Ovis aries: one gene and its partners. The protein of the gene in region 4 purifies or fractionates together with the protein of the main gene of each other region. This does not show direct contact. Links are inferred from orthologs where the notes say so. Each region holds a gene or a part of one and is shown on either strand. Other genes may lie near its edges. The genes, in order: EPC2, ACTL6A, MRGBP and ING3.

Region 1 (4,214 bases), on a different chromosome or scaffold from region 4:
CCCAGTGTTTCCCATGATGTACTCTGCATAGAAGTTAAATAGCAGGGTAACAATATACAGCCTTGACATACTCCTTTTCCTATTTGGAACCAGTCTGTTTGTTCCATGTCCAGTTCTAACTGTTGCTTCCTAACCTGCATATAGGTTTCTCAAGAGGCAGGTCAGATGGTCTGGTATTCCCATCTCTTTCTAACCCTGAACTAGTTTTATACAGAATCAAAAGGAACATGACCATTAAACTTGCCTTTGTTTGCCTTTTAGGAATCTCAGGTAATTTCAGCCTACTGAGAAGTTAGGCTAAGATACATTTTTACACTGGGACAAAAATGGCTGTCAGCCATCTCTGTCATTTCATTTTGCCCACAGTATCTAGATTGTCAAGTATTTTTAAAATTTTATTTATTTATTTTAAATGAAACAAAGATGAATATTTTTAATGAAGAAAGGTATAATTCACAAAGAAGATAGACATCATAAACCATTAGACACTTTAGCAACAAAGAAACAAAAATATATAAAGCAAATATCGGAAGAGATATAAGGGAAAAAATATATAATCATAATGAGACATAGTAACGATTGTCAAGTATTTTTAAAGGCATTAACACTTGGAAAAATGAATAGGGCATAAAGATTTGGATTGTTTATTGCCCTAGCTCTTTCTCATAAATAGTTGCTTCTCAGTTTAGTAACTTTCTTATTTCACAGATGAAAATAGTCTATGAAGTCCTAGATCTCTTAACATAAAAACTTTTAACTATTCAGAATGAAAAAGGCAACAGCCTCTTGGGTTATCTCACTTTTTTAAGTGTTTGTGAACTCACATCTGAAAAGTTGAGAGTTTAACTTTGTTCATTTTATAGGGCTCAAGCACCTCTGACTGTATGTCTAAAACACTTGACTCAGCCAGCGCCCATTTTGCTGCATCTGCAGTGGTCAGTGCACCTGTTCCAAGTCGCAGTGAGGTAGCCAAGGAACAGAACACTGGCCACAGCAACATAAACGGTGTTGTCCAGCCTTCAGGTAAGCCTGTCGTTTCAAGTGATACTTACTAGTTCAAAGTTGCAACTCAGTGATTTGAGATTTGGTTTTTTATTTATTTATTTATTTTTGGCGGGGGGGGGGGGGGGGGGGGGTTGATTTTTAAATCCAGAGGGGAAACATTGTACAAGAAGTCAGTTAGGACTCCATAATTTCTATGGCTCTGTGTGGTGGAATAGCTTGATGTTTCTAAAAGTCACATCAAGCCTGCTCCCTGGGTCCTCCCATGCCCAGTTGATACCTACCTGTGTAACAGTCCACCCTGCCTAGTTTTATCTACATACTATCATTTGCCTCACATCTTACCAGTCACATCAAGCCAATTGCTAACCATCATTGTTGAATCATTTGTACATTCTTAAAGAGGAGAATTATATTAATAGTCCAGATGATCTGTCAGAAGTTGGAAATTGGATTTACCTTCCCAGTCTTACACACTCACAGCCCTGCTTTCTGTGACTCCTTGTGAAGTACAGTATTGCTGTGAAACTATTTCTGCGTCAAACTACCGAGAGTACTTTGTTCTTCCTATCAGCCTTTAACTTCTGCTCAGACCCTAGGATTTTCCACTTGCTATTCCATATACCTATGATTGTGATTGCCCTTCCTTACTGATGTTCTTCCTTGTGCAAATTCTAATGGAAGTCCAATTTTCATCTCCACCTGCCCTCAGTCTCCAAGAAGACCTCTCTGTCCTGTTACACAGTTTCCATATATGAAGGCAGCAGAATACTTTGCAAAACTGTTTTATGCAGGCTAGCAGAAAGAGGGTATCTTTGGGGTTGTACAGGTGAATATGTTGTGGTTATTGATTAGAAACTCTCTTCAGAGATTTAATTAGATTACAAATGTTTGCATTTTAAACTCCTAATTTTTTAAAGAGTTTAATTAATGTCTCATGAGTTGAACAGTTTTTTTTCCTTCTCCTTCAGGAACCTCTAAAACATTATACTCCACCAATATGGCTTTATCATCCAGCCCAGGGATTTCAGCTGTACAGCTTGTAAGGACAGTTGGCCACACCACTACAAACCACTTAATCCCAGCATTGTGCACAAGCAGTCCTCAAACACTTCCCATGAACAATTCCTGCCTGACAAATGCAGTGCACCTCAATAACGTCAGTGTTGTTTCTCCAGTCAATGTGCATATCAATACACGGACTTCAGCACCATCGCCAACAGCCTTAAAACTCGCCACAGTTGCTGCCAGTATGGACAGAGTGCCAAAGGTTACTCCTAGCAGTGCCATCAGCAGCATAGCCAGGTGTGTGTGTGTGTGTGTGTATTTCAAGTATCATTCTGTCTCTTTCTGCTGGCTCAGATCCTGTGGGAGGAGAAGACTTTTCCTTTTTTTCTTTTACTGCTCAAACCATAGATATCTTGTCAGCTGATTGACTTGCTTTTCAACAGATATTGAATATCTGCTTAGTCTAAAGCTGTATGACTTAGATCTTTAAGGTCCCTAGTAGAATGTTTAAATGCCAATCAGAACTGTTACTTTAAAAAAGGGGGGAGGATAGTCCACATCAACTTGGGAACCATCAAACTGAAAAAATACATCAGCTTTAGTTATTCTTATATTTCTTCTTTGTAGTTTAGGCAGTCTGGCAGGCTAGAGTTATTGTTAGCCTTCAGAGCTTTAGTTTTCAAATCAAATTTGTATTTTTTTAACATTACACCCAAAGGGAAAGTAAATTATTTTGTGTATGTTTTAGAACTGAGAATATCCTGGAATTAACTAAATCTATGATAATGTATTTCAGATTGCTTTTTTCTTTCTGTGACACTAATGCATGCGAACAGTGAATCAAAAAAATTGATCTGCATAGATTAATAACTACATGACCATAAGCTGTAAAATTAAACTGTAGTGGAAAGTAATTTAAGTAATGTTGTGCTTCCAGTTATTATTATGTATGAGCATCATCTGCTCTGTCTATTGTAAAAAGCTTGAATTGTCCTATATTATATGTTTGATAAGTAATTTATCATTGACTGCTACTGAAATACTGTTAAGTTGCTCTTTTTCCTAAGTAAATAATTATAATCAAGTTCATAGGATTTCTTAACTGAAGAAAACTTTTCCTTATTCCTGTATGGAAACTGTAAAAATGGGAGATGTTCTTGTGCAGTATGTTTAATTGTAATTATATAAAACACATCTGTAAATACTAAATGATAAACATCATATTCTAGAGAGTATTAATGTTTATTTTACTCTTTGCCTTATTATAGAGAGAACCATGAACCAGAAAGATTGGGTTTAAATGGAATAGCAGAGACAACAGTAGCTATGGAAGTGACATAACCTAAAACATGTGGCTTTGACCTGTGCTGATGGTGTGCAGTCATTCATATTCCAGCTGAATGCAAAAGGCGAAACTCTGTGGATCACAGAGGATAACAATGGACCTAAATGGACTATAGTATATCGGATGTTGAATCGATATATGATGTATATTTTGTAAAATTGGGAAAATCACTACCTTGTAAAATAGTTTATTTGTATCATCAATATTATTTCTGTTACTTGAATAGTAGATATTCATCATCATGCTTTTGCACTTGAATTTGCAACTGAATGGATTTTAAAAAATAATTCTTTAATGGGATCATGAGCATGAAATGGGATCCTGCATCACTTGTTTTAACTATTTATTTTGCCATGTTTACATTTTGTATCTTGTAAAAATAAATCCAACTTTGTGTCTAAAAAGTTAAAGATTCATAGCTAGGAAATGAAATTCTTGTAATTTTTTTCTAAAGGAACTGTAAAGTTTTCACTTGGTTCATTTTGTTTCACAATTTGACTAGATGGACTTTTTGGTAAATACTTTAGTGGCATTTCACTGTCAAATATGAAGTTCAAGGCAAAATAGTATTTTCTATTACTGTGCAGGGGAAAGGGATGGATCGATACATGCAAATTTAATGTAGTGACTCACTTTTCCATATATTTTGAATGTATATTTCTATTTATAATACCAGTTTATAAAAAATGATTACACAGAAAAAAAGGACTAGGAAAAATTATGCATCTAGTACATTTAAACTGTGCAGGTATGAAAAATTTTCAAGGATTACATTTTATCTGAAGACTGCATATTTTAACTGGCTTTAAAACTGTAACACACCACATAAAGGATATTTTACCAGGTATGTATTGCATTA
Region 2 (4,214 bases), on a different chromosome or scaffold from region 4:
GGTCTACTAGGGGAGCACATTAAAGACTCAGCACCCTGCTTCACACTCACAGGATAGCTGTTTTATAAAGACAGACAATAGCAAGTGTGATGAGGATATAGAGAAACTGAAATCTCCATATCTATTTCTGGGAGAGAACATAAAATAGTACAGCAGCTTTGAAACATAGTTTGACAGTTTCTTAATAGGTTAAATATAAATTCACCTTATAATCCAAACAGTTCCACTCCTAGGTATCAGTACGAGAGAACTGAAACCCATGTCCACACAAATACTTAAATGCAAACGTTCATAGCAGCATTGTCCATATTAACTGAAAAGTGGATATAGTCCAAAGGTGCATCATTGGATGAATGGGTACACACAGTGTGCTATATCCATAAAAGGAAGTATTAATACTACTTGACAATAAAAGAAACAAAATAACTGATACAAGTCAAAATACCAGTTGGGTTTTGATGAACCCCAAAGCCTTATGCCAAATGGAGGAAATCAGATGCAAAATTCCACATAATGTGGAATCACTTACTCTAATATGGAATGACCAGGAAAAGCTAATTTATACAGACAGAAAGTAAAGTAGCAGTTGCTTGGGGCTGTGGATATTATGAGAAGTGACTGTTAAAGGGCATACAGTTTCTTTTTGAGGTGATGGAACTATTCTAAAATTATGTTGTAATAAGAGTCACACAACTGTGTAGCTTTACAGAAGAAAATCTCTTCATTGTACACATAAAATTCATGTTATGGAAAATTATATCTCTATAGAACTGCTAAAGAACTGGAAGAATATTTTTTGTTACAAATATTTTATTTCTTATATTATCCTGATACTTGGAATAAATAACTATCTTTTGGATTCAGAAAAAAAAGGACTCAGTACCCATGGTTTTTATTGGTGACTGGTCATGTAGGTACCTTGTGCCCAACATGTTCCAAAACCCCAGACTCCCAGTTTAAACCACACTGTTTGTATAAATGGTTTAGGCACAGTGAACTACTCTTATTTGGGGAAAGTTTTATATCAATGTAGGAAACTGTTTACCAGACAAGTTCCCAGATGCCAGCCAAGGGTCAGCCTTGCAAGCAGGCCTTTCTCAGGTTTGCTGAGTTAACTCTTTCTGCATAGCAAGAGTTTATTAGTTCAAAGTGTTTGAGTATAGATGCTGGTTTAATAAGCAAGTAAGAGTGATTTTAAGACATGGAATTGATTTTTTTTTTTTCCACCCAGAAAGAGTTTGGGAGGTGAAAACAGGATTGAGGGTGAGATTCCTTATGGAAAGTTACTCCGTATTTAACCAGTAGAGGTGCCTATGAAGGGGAATGAGATGAACAGTTAGAGAAGTAGGAGAAAATTCAGGAGAAAACCAAGAAAAGAAAAAACTCGAGAAGAAGTCCAGTGAGTCTCATGTTCTTAACTGTGGCATTGAGATTTATGCTAAGAAGGGGAAAGAGAAGTTAAAGCTATAGAGGAAGTGCCTTGACCAAAATATCCCATTCTGGACTTTCACTGGTCCGCCTGCCAATGCAGGGGACGTGGGTTCAATCCCTGGTCCAGGAAGATGGCACAGGCTGGAGGGCAACTAAGCTCACGTGAAGCAGCTGCTGGAGCCCGTGCACCCTGGAGCGTGCGCTCTGCAGCCGGAGAAACCACGACAGTGAGAAGCCTGAGCACTGCAACTAGAGAGCAGCCCCTGGGGAGCAACGAAGGCCTAGCAGCCCCCAGAAAACAGAGCAGTGAGTTAAACCCATCCTGATAGGCCTATAACAATACTAACATGGTGTACAGATGATGCCATTCTTTGTTGGTCTGTGGCAGAAGAAGTTTGTGAACTCTTGAATCAATGGTGTCAGTAATTTAGAGAGGTTAGGTGAGATTGCAGACGCAAAGGATCCACTGGGCTTACCTGTTGGACGTTCGTTAGTGACTTACGCAAGCAGTCAGTGTAATGTTTTAATGGAAAGCAAATTGAAAACATATTCTTCTTTAAATTTTTTATAATGTTTTTATGTCTTTTTTTCATACAGATTGTTGCTGTTAGCTCCAAATCATGCAATTCTGTTTCCTCTTACAATTTGAATTGTGCTTTGGGCTTTATAGTTAGTACTTAACCGAATACTATTTATTTGGTATTTTAGGTGTGTTAGATACCTTAATTTTATCTGGGTCAGGTCTAGGGGTTACGGTACTGTTGGGGCTGGAGGAGCCATATCTAGAAGACAAAGCTAATGTCTATATGAAGTACTGTTTTATGAGGTAGAGCTGTAAAATAAGTCAGTTCTGTATATTAAAGTATCAGTGCTAAACCATTAGAAACAGTCTCTCAGAAGATGCTGTATTCATCTCCAACTAAGTATTGTTTTCAAGGTATTTATCTTATATTCTAGTTGAAGATTGGGATAGTTTCCAGGCTATTTTGGATCATACCTACAAAATGCATGTCAAATCAGAAGCCAGCCTGCATCCTGTTCTCATGTCAGAAGCACCAGTAAGACAAACTTTTTCAAGTTTTCTAGGTTGTTTTTTTACTCATTTTACTTTTTTTCTTTAAAGAGATATAGAAATTCATATTTTGAAAATGAGGGAAAGGGGGATTCTTTTTTAAATACTCTTACAACTTTTATTATTTCAATAATAAAAATACTCAAAGAACAACAGTAAAGCACCCAGTGGGTTCTGGCAGTTATTTATCTATTTTTTTCCAGGAATTTAATATCTAATTTCCTTTGACTGCTTCCCATTTTGGTTCATGAATTGTCCCTTATCGCTCAAGGGCAGTGTATATCTGCTTTTTTACTCAATCTTAGGAGTGACTAGATTCATTCTTAAGATTTAATACTTCATGTTTATAAGAATCCTGATTACTCTATACTTTGAAAAGTCTGTAGTTTCTAGAATTCATAGCAGCAATTTTACTTTTCAGATAATAAACTTTATTAAATTTATTACAAATACATAGAGATAAATGTTGTAAAGATATTATGAAGATTTTCCATGGTAACTTAATGTTTTACATTTTTGTTAATACAGTACTGAAATGAATTTTGAGATAAATCAGCATTTTAGTTTTTAAACAATAAGTAATTTGCATTTCTTTTTCCCTACTCTCAAGTGGAATACCAGAGCAAAGAGAGAGAAACTGACAGAGCTGATGTTTGAACACTACAACATTCCTGCATTCTTCCTTTGCAAAACTGCCGTTTTGACAGCGTATCCTTGAAAGAGTAATACTCAGCTTCTCTTCATGAGTGACTGTGGTTCTGCTAAAGGTGATGTGCTCAGCAGGAAGACAGGAGTCAGTTCTTGCTTGTCAGAAGTTGAGGGAGTTTTCCCCATTGCTTTTTGGATACCTTTCTTTCAGTATTTCTTACTGGAACTGATGTGCATGAAAGTGTGAGACGGAGATGGGAAATAAACACTCAAATTCTGCTCATTAATTTAACAAAGTTTTTTAAAAATTGTGTTTTTAGAAGGGGAATGTGAAGAGAAGGCCTAGATGAGTTCAAAGAGTGTCATTTCCTTCCTCCTCTCCAATGCCTGAGAAAAGTGGAAGTTGTCTATAAATTCATTTAAGATTTAATCACCAAGTATTTTTTATGAGCATATTAAGGAACAGACAAGGAAATACTATGTCCTGACCTCAAAGAATAATGTAATATTCTTGTTGAAAACTAAATAACATTTAAATAGTACTTCAAAATAGCACTGGCAAAAGTCATAAAGAAGTACATGATTCATCTGAAATTTTCAAATAGCAATTATAGTTCAGTGGAGGAAGATTGAAGCCTGACAAACCTTGTAAAGAAAAGAGAATTTTGAGACTTCCCTGGCAGTCAGTGGTTAAAGACTTCGCACTTCCAGTGCAGGGGACATGAGTTCAATCCTTGATTGGGGAACTAACATCCCGCACGCCATGTAGTGCGCCCGCCACCCCCCTCCCCCCCAAAAAGTGAGGGAATTTAGTTGCAAGGTGAAGGGAAAGGAGTCCTATATTTAGAGTTCAAGTAACAGTGCTGATAAACTGATCTTGATTTAGGTACTTAAAATCAGCCTCACCTTTTATACATTTATCCTGTGTACCTCCCTGGATTGCTATAATATTCAAGTGAATTTTACATGTGTGAGAATCACTGTGGTAGCTGTAATCTAGCATTTGTCTGTCGTGCTGTGTCTTGGAGATGACTTTAGCAAAAGTGTGGAGGTGGAAAGGGTA
Region 3 (4,852 bases), on a different chromosome or scaffold from region 4:
ATCACAACCCAGAGGCTAAAGGTGCAGGCACAGTGTTCAGATTCCTGAATCCGGCCTCAGTCTGGCTCCAGTTGTACTCATGTCTGTGGGACACAAAGAAATGAGCCAAATCACTGGGATTAGGCAAAGTCCTGGCAGCTGAGCATGGCATTTAGCTCCACCCTGACACTGGGCACAGAGGTCGGCTTAATACTCATGGGTAGAGACAGTCCCACACAAACCTGGTGAAGCAGACAAATGGGCAGTACCCAGGAGGCTTCATGTAAGAAAGATGTGGAGAAGGCAGTTTCCTTTTGCCCAGATCATCCAACCTGTCTTTCTGCATCGAGTCTGACTGAAGATACACATTCTAGGATCTGCCTGGAATGAAAGGAACCGGGTGTCTGTGGACCACAGCTGCTGGCTGAACACAGCTCAGCTACAGTGGCCACCAGAGAGAACGAAAACACAGCCCAGCACCCAGGTGACCCCAGGCAGGAGGAAGAGATTGCATGAGAGGCACAGATGGGCTGAGGCTGTCTTGTGGGCATCAGGGGTAGCTTCCTAGAGGAGGAGGCTCTCCAGATTGAAGAAGGCAGGAATTGGGTGGGGATAGAATGAGCAGAAGGTGGACCTGGTGGAGGAGCAGGGACCCTGAAGTGTCTGGGAAGTGTAGGGAGATTAATGATGAGGGCCACTGTCTGTTAGTGCTTTCTGTGTGACAGAGCCCGAGTGAAGTGGCTTTGGGCTGTGCTCCATTCCACCTCACAGCAAGCCCTGAGGGGAGCCCCACTTGTGGGTCAGAGAGAGGAAAGAAGCACAGGCCCAGCAAAGTCACAATGTCCCTCCACATCGTGGCTCCAGGACAGCCGGTGGCACTGGGTCACTGAAATCCTCCCTGGGCCACATGTCCCCACTCTGTGGGGACTGGCATCACCAGCAGCGCTCTTCACACAAGGGAGGACAAGACTGAGTCCCCACTGTTCCGGGGGTGAGGCTGGCCAGAGCGGTTCCGAATGCCGGCTAAGAAGCGCGAGCGTGTGCCCAGGGCACCCCAGGATAAGGCGCCGCCGTTAGTTGCACTGCAAGGAGGACACCTGCGGCCTGGAGAGGCTCAGCGTTTTGCCTGGCTCACACGGCTGGCAAGCCGCAGAGCCAGAAAGGGACCCGGAAGGCCGACCCTATGTCTACACCCAGGGGGAGACGAAGAGCAAGAGCGCTCCTCGCCTTGGGTAACCGCCCGGAGCACCGCGTGGGCGTGGCCTGACGGAGAAGGGCCGGGGAGAAGCCCTCGGGGGCGGGGATGGGGCGGGGCGGGGCGGGGAGGAGCCGGCGGTCTTGATTGGGCGCAGCTTTGAGCTTGTCACCTGACTGCCCAGGCCGGCCGCCCCATTGGCCCCGCCCCTCCCGACCAGGGTTAACCCCCAGGGCCCAATGCTGGTCACCCTGGAGGCCCCAGGCGGGAAGGCTGTACCCCGACGTCCCTGCCCCGGTGTGCAGGAGCCTCTCTGTGCAGCGCTCAGGCCAAGGGTCAGCTGGAGGCAGTGGAAGCCCTTGGAGCCCCCACTCGCAGGAACTGTAGGTCGCCTGTTCTTTTTCTTCTTTGCTTCTTACTGAGGTGCAGCTTGCAATCCCGCCATCGTAAGCGCAGAGTTCAGCGGGGTTTACCCCGAGCTGTGCAGCTACGGGCACAATCTAATTTAGGGCATTTCCATCCATCTACGCAAACCCACTCCTTCGCCTGATCCGCCTGCTCTGCCGGCGCTGCGCCGCGAGACCGTGCCGCCTGGGGGCGCGGCGACCCAGCGCTCAGCTGCGCCTGCGCCTGCGCCGCGGGAGAGTCCGAGAGCGAGCCCGTCGAGCGCGCGCCCACGCCGCGAGTGCGCCTGCGCGGAGCTCGTGGCCGTGCCCGCTCCCGCCCGGGGCTCGTCGCTGGGCGGCGGGGCCATGGGGGAGGCCGAGGTGGGCGGCGGCGGCGCGGCCGGCGACAAGGGCCCTGGGGAGGCTGCCACCAGCCCGGCCGAGGAGACGGTGGTGTGGAGCCCCGAGGTGGAGGTGTGCCTCTTCCACGCCATGCTGGGCCACAAGCCCGTCGGTGAGCAGAGCGCCGCGCCGGGGCGGCCCACCCGCGTGGGGGCGGGGCGGCCGGCAACGGTCGGGGACGCGCGCTGGGCGGGGCCTCCTGCGCTTGCACCCCGCCGACCGTGCCCTCACCTGCGCACCCTGCCCCCACCTGCGCACCCCATCCATGCTTCCTCCAGCAGTCCCCCACTCCTGCCCACGCTGCCCCCTTCTATACCCTACCCCCACCCGACTCTGCCCCCTTCCTGTGCCCAGCCACCCATCCCGGCTGACTCCAGCCCTCACGTGCACCCCCACCCCTGTGCCCTCGTTACACCTCCGCTGCACACCCCTGCCTTTTCCTCTCCCACCTCTCTCCGCTGCACCTCCTACCTCTTCCACCCTCCACCTTTGCCTCCCTACACCCTTGCAACCACTGCCCGCTCTCTCCCCCTTGCCCCCTACCTCTTCGCTACCCTACCAGCTGGCCTACCCCTCCCCCACAAGCCGACCCCTTCCTTCTGCAGGGGTGAACCGGCACTTCCACATGATCTGTATCCGAGACAAGTTCAGCCAGAACATCGGTCGGCAGGTCCCATCCAAGGTCATCTGGGACCACCTGAGCACCATGTATGACATGCAGGCACTGGTGAGCTGGACCCCCGCAGACAGAGCTGCTGGCAGGGAGCCCCCTCCACACCGCCTACCCTGCCTTTGTCCCCACCCCCCCCACCCCCCACCACCAACCACGTCCTACCTTGACATCCAGGATGTCCCACAGGTGACCAGTTGTTAAACAAGATAGCTCTGGGTAGTTTTATGAAAACACAAGCTTGGTGACAGTAGCTAGTTATTGCACTGAATCTACCTTAGATTTTGGGGGGGAGTCGAGGTTCAGTTAAGATCTTTCCAGGAGATAACTAGGGAGCTGAGGCCTGTGTGGGAGGGGGCTCTTAGGTTGTCAGTCCTGTGGAAAACTCCCGAGTGCTATAAGCAGGGAGGTGACCGGGTCTGAGTCACATTGAGATGAACATGGTGGTTTCTGTGAGAACTAGGCCAACCCTCAGGGAAGACCACCCTCAGGGAACCCCCAGATGCTGGGTCTGAGGGAGAGCAGGTCAACTTGGTAACCAGGACAGCAGAAAAGACAGGTGGGTGTTCCCTGCAGAGGAACAGCAGGAGTCAGGGCCCTGTGGCAGCAGGCGTCAGGACTCGGGGCTGCACCCGCACCCCACCCTGTGCCCCTCCCTCCTCCCTCCCTCCCACCCTGAGCTTCTAAGTGAAGCTCAGACCCTCTTGTGTCCTTAACCCTCACCACCACAAGTTCCCTGTTGGCCTTGGGAAAGTCGTTTGCATCTCCTTGTCCCAAGGCAGAGAAGGAAGAGAAATGACAGTACTGCTCTGACCCCGAGCCTGCAGTTAGCACCCAGGAACTCGAGGTCAAGCTGTTGAACTGAAGCAGGCCGCCCGAAGGGCTGTGCCCACCCGTTGGGGCACCACTCCCCCAGAATTCCAGTGTTCAGCAGCTTGGCAGGACCCCCCATGCTTGTCATGTTGGGGTGTCACCTGGCCCCCAGACGCTTCCTGCATCTCCACTCCAGGCTGGGGCCCAAAGCTGGACACAGAGACAAGTATGGGAGGGCCCCTGTCCTGAGGGGCCTTTGGTGCGGTAGACAGGACAGATGGCTCTCAAGTGCAGACGCTGGCTCAGAGGGTGCTGAGGCAGTGATGCCCCGTACAGGGTACGGTGATACTCTGCTGTGGGGGCCACCAGGGAGGCTCTCAGTCCAGGACAGGTGGCCCTTCCTTCCTCAGTTCCTTGGACCCCAGCACCGCTATAGAGCTGATGCCATGGTCACCTGGGACCTTGTAAATATGGGTCTGTGGATCTCACCCCACAGGATGACCGTGGGCCCAGGAGCTCTCGGGGTTTGTGAAGCTCCCAGCTGGCAGGTGGCACACTTACTCACTGACCACCTGGCTTGCAGCTCAGCTCCCAAGTTGGGGACTAGAAGCCCTGTCTCCTGAATCCCCTCCCAACCCAGAGACCCTTCCCACCAGCTCACCTTTCCCTTTGTCTGGTGGTGGTGTTTCTGGCTCTCTGTCCCTCCAGGCCTACGTGATCTGGGGAACAAGTGGAGCCTGGCGAGCATTCCTGGTGGCTCCTCCATTTTGCTTTGTTTGCCTGGTTTCCACGAGAGAGAACAAAGGCCTCAGGCCCCACGCCTGCCCACTGCAGCCCCTCGGGACAGCCATCTGTGCTCATTGGTCACTCCTGAGTTGGCTCTTACATCTCTAGTCACATTTTCTTTTAAATGTGATATTTAAAATCATATTTTCTTCTTTGCTTCTAAAAAAAAAAACACCCTTGTTTGTCATCAGCACGAGTCTGAGATTCTTCCGTTCCCAAATCCAGAGAGGAACTTCATCCTTCCAGAAGAAATCATTCAAGAAGTCCGAGAAGGTATGACTCGGGCAAGGGCAGATTTGGGAATGGGAAAAGGTGTCAGGGTGAAGGTCACGAGCCTCAGAGAGTGAGGGTCAGTAGTTGGGTGGTGCTCACCCTCCAGGATGGGGTGGTCTGGGGGCCTCCAGGACAGGGGCAGACACCTCCCAAGTCGTCAGCAGCCCTTGGCCTGAGCCACTGTGGTCAGACAGGGCCACGGCACTCAGCATTGCGGGCTCCAGGTCATCATTGGTCATCTCCCCACAGGAAAAGTAATCATCGAGGAGGAAATGAAAGAGGAAATGAAAGAAGATGTGGACCCCCACAACGGGGCTGATGATGGTAAGTGTGGAGCTTGCCCTCCCA
Region 4 (4,214 bases):
ATTTGAAGACAGTCCATTCTTCACTAACATATTCATAGCTCCTTTATGCTTACAGGATCCCAATATTATGTTTTTTCTTTATGTGCGACTTCTGACCCTTTGTTTTCCTTTTGTTGCATCTAGGAGACTTTATTTTTTGTTTATACCGTTATGTTAAAAATCTTATATAAATCTTGATTTGTCAGTTTAGTGTTAATTCCTGTGAAGGCAGGGATTCTCTCATTCTTCAGGTATTGTCCATTTACCCAGCGCCATGCACACAATAGGAACTCAGTGTTTATTAGTAATATAGGTGTAGGTAAGAAAGGTGGTGGAGTATTTTCATTGCATTAAGTAGACTTGGAATTTAAGCATGAGTAGTTTTTCTGATTTCCCTTGAGATTAAATTTTGACAATGTAAGCGATATTCTTGAATAAGAGGTCTGTGTTCACACTTTATTATTGAAAGGGTGGTTCCATTAAAGGATGCTTGGTTACCTGCAGGTTCTTTGAATAGGAGCATGTGTCTACAATATATGACCCTATTCTGCTACTGCTGCTGCTAAGTCACTTCAGTCGTGTCTGACTCTGTGCGATCCCATAGATGGCAGCCCACCAGGCTCCCCTGTCCCTGGGATTCTCCAGGCAAGAACACTGGAGTGGGTCGCCATTTCCTTCTCCAATGCATGAAAGTGAAAAGTGAAAGTGAAGTCGCTCAGTCGTGTCCAACTCTTAGCAACCCCATGGACTGCAGCCTACCAGGCTTCTCCATCCATGGGATTTTCCAGGCAAGAGTACTGGAGTGGGTTGCCATTGCCTTCTCTGATATGACCCTATAGGATTTTAAATATTGTAATTACAGCTTCTACCAAGCTCTGAAAAATAACACGTGTGTGAAGATGGAAGGAAAATTGGGCTTTGAATTATTGAAAAGTCACAAGCCAGCATCCCAATGATTGCTGTTAATATACAAAATATAAATAATAAGACAATATTTTTATGTTTTTTCAATTTGAATTATATTACTTTCAGTTAAGAAATTGGCTTCTGCATGTGGAAATTCAGAAGGCAATGTTAAGTATAAACAGTGAAGCACAGTTTATTACAAACAGATCAGAGTTAAATCTTGTTTCTGTAATATATTAGCTATTGAATTTGCAGGTGTTGCTTAACCTTTCTGAGTCTAGTTTCTTCACTTATGAAATGGAGACAGTACTATCTCAAAAGGTTTGAGCAAGGACTAGAAAACATAGTCCTTTTAATGCACCAAACACATGTCCTGGCATCTAACACCCACAGATTGTCTTTTGGTACTCTTCTTCCCTAACCCCTCACTTAAGTACACATAATTTCATTGAAAGTCTTACTTAATTTTTTTGCCCTCTAATGTATTGGAGACATTTTTATATTTGTAAGAAAGTTACTCTTAATTATGACAGTGATTAAGAGGGACATTAGAATTTGAAAAAAGGTATTGCTAATAATATGACATGAATATTTTTCAAGACTGTTTTTTGTTTTTTTGATTTGACTTCAAAGCAGTAAATTTGAAAAAGTATCAAGATATTTAATATTAAGCTTAAAAAAATACATGAAAACTTGTTGCTAGTTTGAGGTATTATAAAATTTTCAGAAGAAAATTTTCAGTCCAAAGATCTCTAGGTGAATGAGAATATACAATTTGGCCACCTTAACCAAGTGTGACAGTATTTCAATAAAACCATTTTGACCAAGCTTTTGTGGAATGGAACTTTCTGGCTAAAAACCCCTTTTGTTTCAACTCTTTACATAAATGTTTACAAGTATAATGGTATGCTTTCCTGCCTTAGAGAAATGTATGTGTAAAGTATAGGAGGCTCTTTGTTTGTAGACTGAGGATCTTTCATTCCTTACTGTAAGTAACAGTTATTATGGTCTGGCAGTGTGGATGGTCTTGTTATAAGGAGGAGGAGCTTAGGCTGAAAGTAATCCCAAGGTATATATGAAAAGTTTCCTATGCCACCCACCCCTCATCTTTGCTTATGTTTCATAGCCTACTTCCTCCAAACATTCTCTGACAAATTGCAATTCTGGTTTCTTAAAATGTATTCAAGGAGGCTTGGGAGGTATTTAGCCTAGCAACCTCATTTTATAGAATAAAAACCTGTAGTGTAGGTTAATTGACTTGCTCAAGGATCCAGAGCAGATGCACTAAAAGAAGTAAAGATTTAGGCTTCCTCATTAAACCGACACTTTGATAGTGTCCCAAATTGTGGTGGTTATCTTTGATCTTCTTTGAAACAGGTAGATCGACACTTGAGAAAGCTGGATCAGGAACTGGCTAAATTTAAAATGGAGCTGGAAGCTGATAATGCTGGGATTACAGAGATATTAGAGAGGCGTAAGTAAAATTTACACTTTTCCATCACCATTGGACAATACATGTGCACATCACTGAGGAGACACTGGTTCCACAGAGACTTCTCAGATCCTGGTCCTTGGTGGACAGAGGCACCTGGTGGGATCACTTGGTCCCTAGCAGTTGGACTGTTTGGACTTGATCTCCTGCTATAATTTACTCTTATCATTCCTAGGGTTTAACTCAGGAGATTTCCCCAAAATGGAGACATGAGCTCTGTTTCTTGAACAAATTTAGCTCTTCAGCCTAAATAGACAGAGTCCATAAAAACAGATGGTACCATGGTAAGCCCTGAGTAGGCATTCAGTAAATGTTAGTTGAATCAAGTCAGTATTATGGCCGATTTCTAGTATAATTTAACTAAAGGTTCAGGCATCTCTTTTCTTGGTGCATATCAGTAGCAAGAACATATACCTGGTTCTACACATGGATGAAAGGTTTCTTTACAGTGTTAGGTTACATATATCTCTATTCATATACTCTCTACAGGTCAGCTAGGGCAGCAACCACACATGAATCCATCTTGGTACAATAGTTGCATTTTTGTGTTCCCAAATAGGTCCATCACTTTAGATGATTATCTAATTTATTTGTGATACTTTCATTTCAGGGGAATCCTATCTGAGGATGATAAGTATCTTGAGACAAAATAAAATGTTTTATTTTCTTGAAATGCTGATAATAGCTGTGAGTAGCAGTAAATCCATGCCTATTCAGTACCTCAGGGAGGTTAATGAAGCATCCTCTGTAAGGACACAAACATATCAAAGTCATCAGATCAAGTTATGAAAACTGCTCCACCCTGTGCCCTGCCATAATTTCATCTCAAGGGACCAAGATAAACTGAGGACATTTCTTTAAAAGTATATTAAAGTTTAGAGGTAGAGATTCTATGCATCACATTTCACAAGCAAAATCCCTAACTTCTTTTAGAAGTCTTTACATTCATATATCATTTTAATGATCAAAGAATTTTTTTTCCTATAGTAATGTCCCATCGCCTGATACTTCAGTATCTCCCATTAAAAGGTCTTCAACTCAGTTAACTCTAGGTTGAGTTTTTTAGGTCTCATCAGTAATGAAATTATAACATCCATTTGTCCACTTATGTGGTACCAAATGTGGTGAATTCCTCAGCCAGACATTAGCATGCCTTGACCCATTTTGTACTTAAAGGTGAATATTAAAAAATGGGTTACTTACTGTTTAGAAAGAGGATGAGATTGGCGCAGGGTAAAATCAGCAGTGATGACCCTCTAATGTGTTTGACTAAAATGGTACAGGCATAGACATCAGAGCTTGCTGGTCCTCTGCTGGTTAAGGGTCCACAGTCCTGTAGTTGATTGGTGTGTAAAGTTCTGTGGTGACATCTCATGGCAATGTATGTCTGTGCTTCTCTCTCTCTCTCTCTCTCTCTCTTTTTTTTTTTTTTTTTAAGGATCTCTGGAATTAGACACTCCTTCACAGCCAGTGAACAATCACCATGCTCACTCACATACTCCAGTGGAGAGTAAGTATGATTTAGGAGAGCTAAAATCTTAAAAACAATGAAAAATTCATTGTATCATCTGTATATTCTCTTTCATTAGCTCTGCACAACTGATTGAGAAACAGATACCCTCCCCTTTCTTTTATCTTGTGAGATACAGTTTTTCATTGCAACTACTGGCAGATTTATCTTCTTCATTTGGGAAGAGCATATTTGATTTGGGAACAGGTAGTCTGTTTTGCATGGCATTCTCAAAGGAAGAATGTGTGGTACTAACAGCAGTGTATACTCTCTAGATACAAATAACCTGATTCTCTCTAGGGAGTGTTCTTTTTCATCCTTTCTCAA

What was found.
Region 1: the proteins of ING3 (region 4) and EPC2 purify together in Homo sapiens (affinity purification with mass spectrometry; 3 studies listed by BioGRID and IntAct, with this or other methods). This does not show direct contact. The link is inferred for Ovis aries from reciprocal best matches to the Homo sapiens genes ING3 and EPC2.
Region 2: the proteins of ING3 (region 4) and ACTL6A purify together in Homo sapiens (affinity purification with western blotting; 3 studies listed by BioGRID and IntAct, with this or other methods). This does not show direct contact. The link is inferred for Ovis aries from reciprocal best matches to the Homo sapiens genes ING3 and ACTL6A.
Region 3: the proteins of ING3 (region 4) and MRGBP purify together in Homo sapiens (co-immunoprecipitation; 4 studies listed by BioGRID and IntAct, counting the BioPlex papers as one, with this or other methods). This does not show direct contact. The link is inferred for Ovis aries from reciprocal best matches to the Homo sapiens genes ING3 and MRGBP.

The regions. Positions count from the first base shown.
Region 1 is NC_056055.1:160,774,265-160,778,478, reverse strand, and holds part of EPC2 (enhancer of polycomb homolog 2), read left to right. Parts: intron 1-863; coding exon 864-1,023; intron 1,024-1,973; coding exon 1,974-2,434; 3' UTR 2,435-3,278; coding exon of another isoform or gene 3,279-3,351; 3' UTR 3,352-4,214. UniProt on the Homo sapiens protein: May play a role in transcription or DNA repair.
Region 2 is NC_056054.1:208,327,570-208,331,783, reverse strand, and holds part of ACTL6A (actin-like protein 6A), read left to right. Parts: intron 1-2,388; coding exon 2,389-2,489; intron 2,490-3,113; coding exon 3,114-3,211; intron 3,212-4,214.
Region 3 is NC_056066.1:54,281,428-54,286,279, reverse strand, and holds the start of MRGBP (MRG/MORF4L-binding protein), read left to right. Parts: upstream 1-1,772; 5' UTR 1,773-1,926; coding exon 1,927-2,074; intron 2,075-2,567; coding exon 2,568-2,689; intron 2,690-4,422; coding exon 4,423-4,504; intron 4,505-4,753; coding exon 4,754-4,828; intron 4,829-4,852.
Region 4 is NC_056057.1:87,086,172-87,090,385, forward strand, and holds part of ING3 (inhibitor of growth protein 3), read left to right. Parts: intron 1-2,262; coding exon 2,263-2,359; intron 2,360-3,815; coding exon 3,816-3,887; intron 3,888-4,214. UniProt on the Homo sapiens protein: Component of the NuA4 histone acetyltransferase (HAT) complex which is involved in transcriptional activation of select genes principally by acetylation of nucleosomal histones H4 and H2A.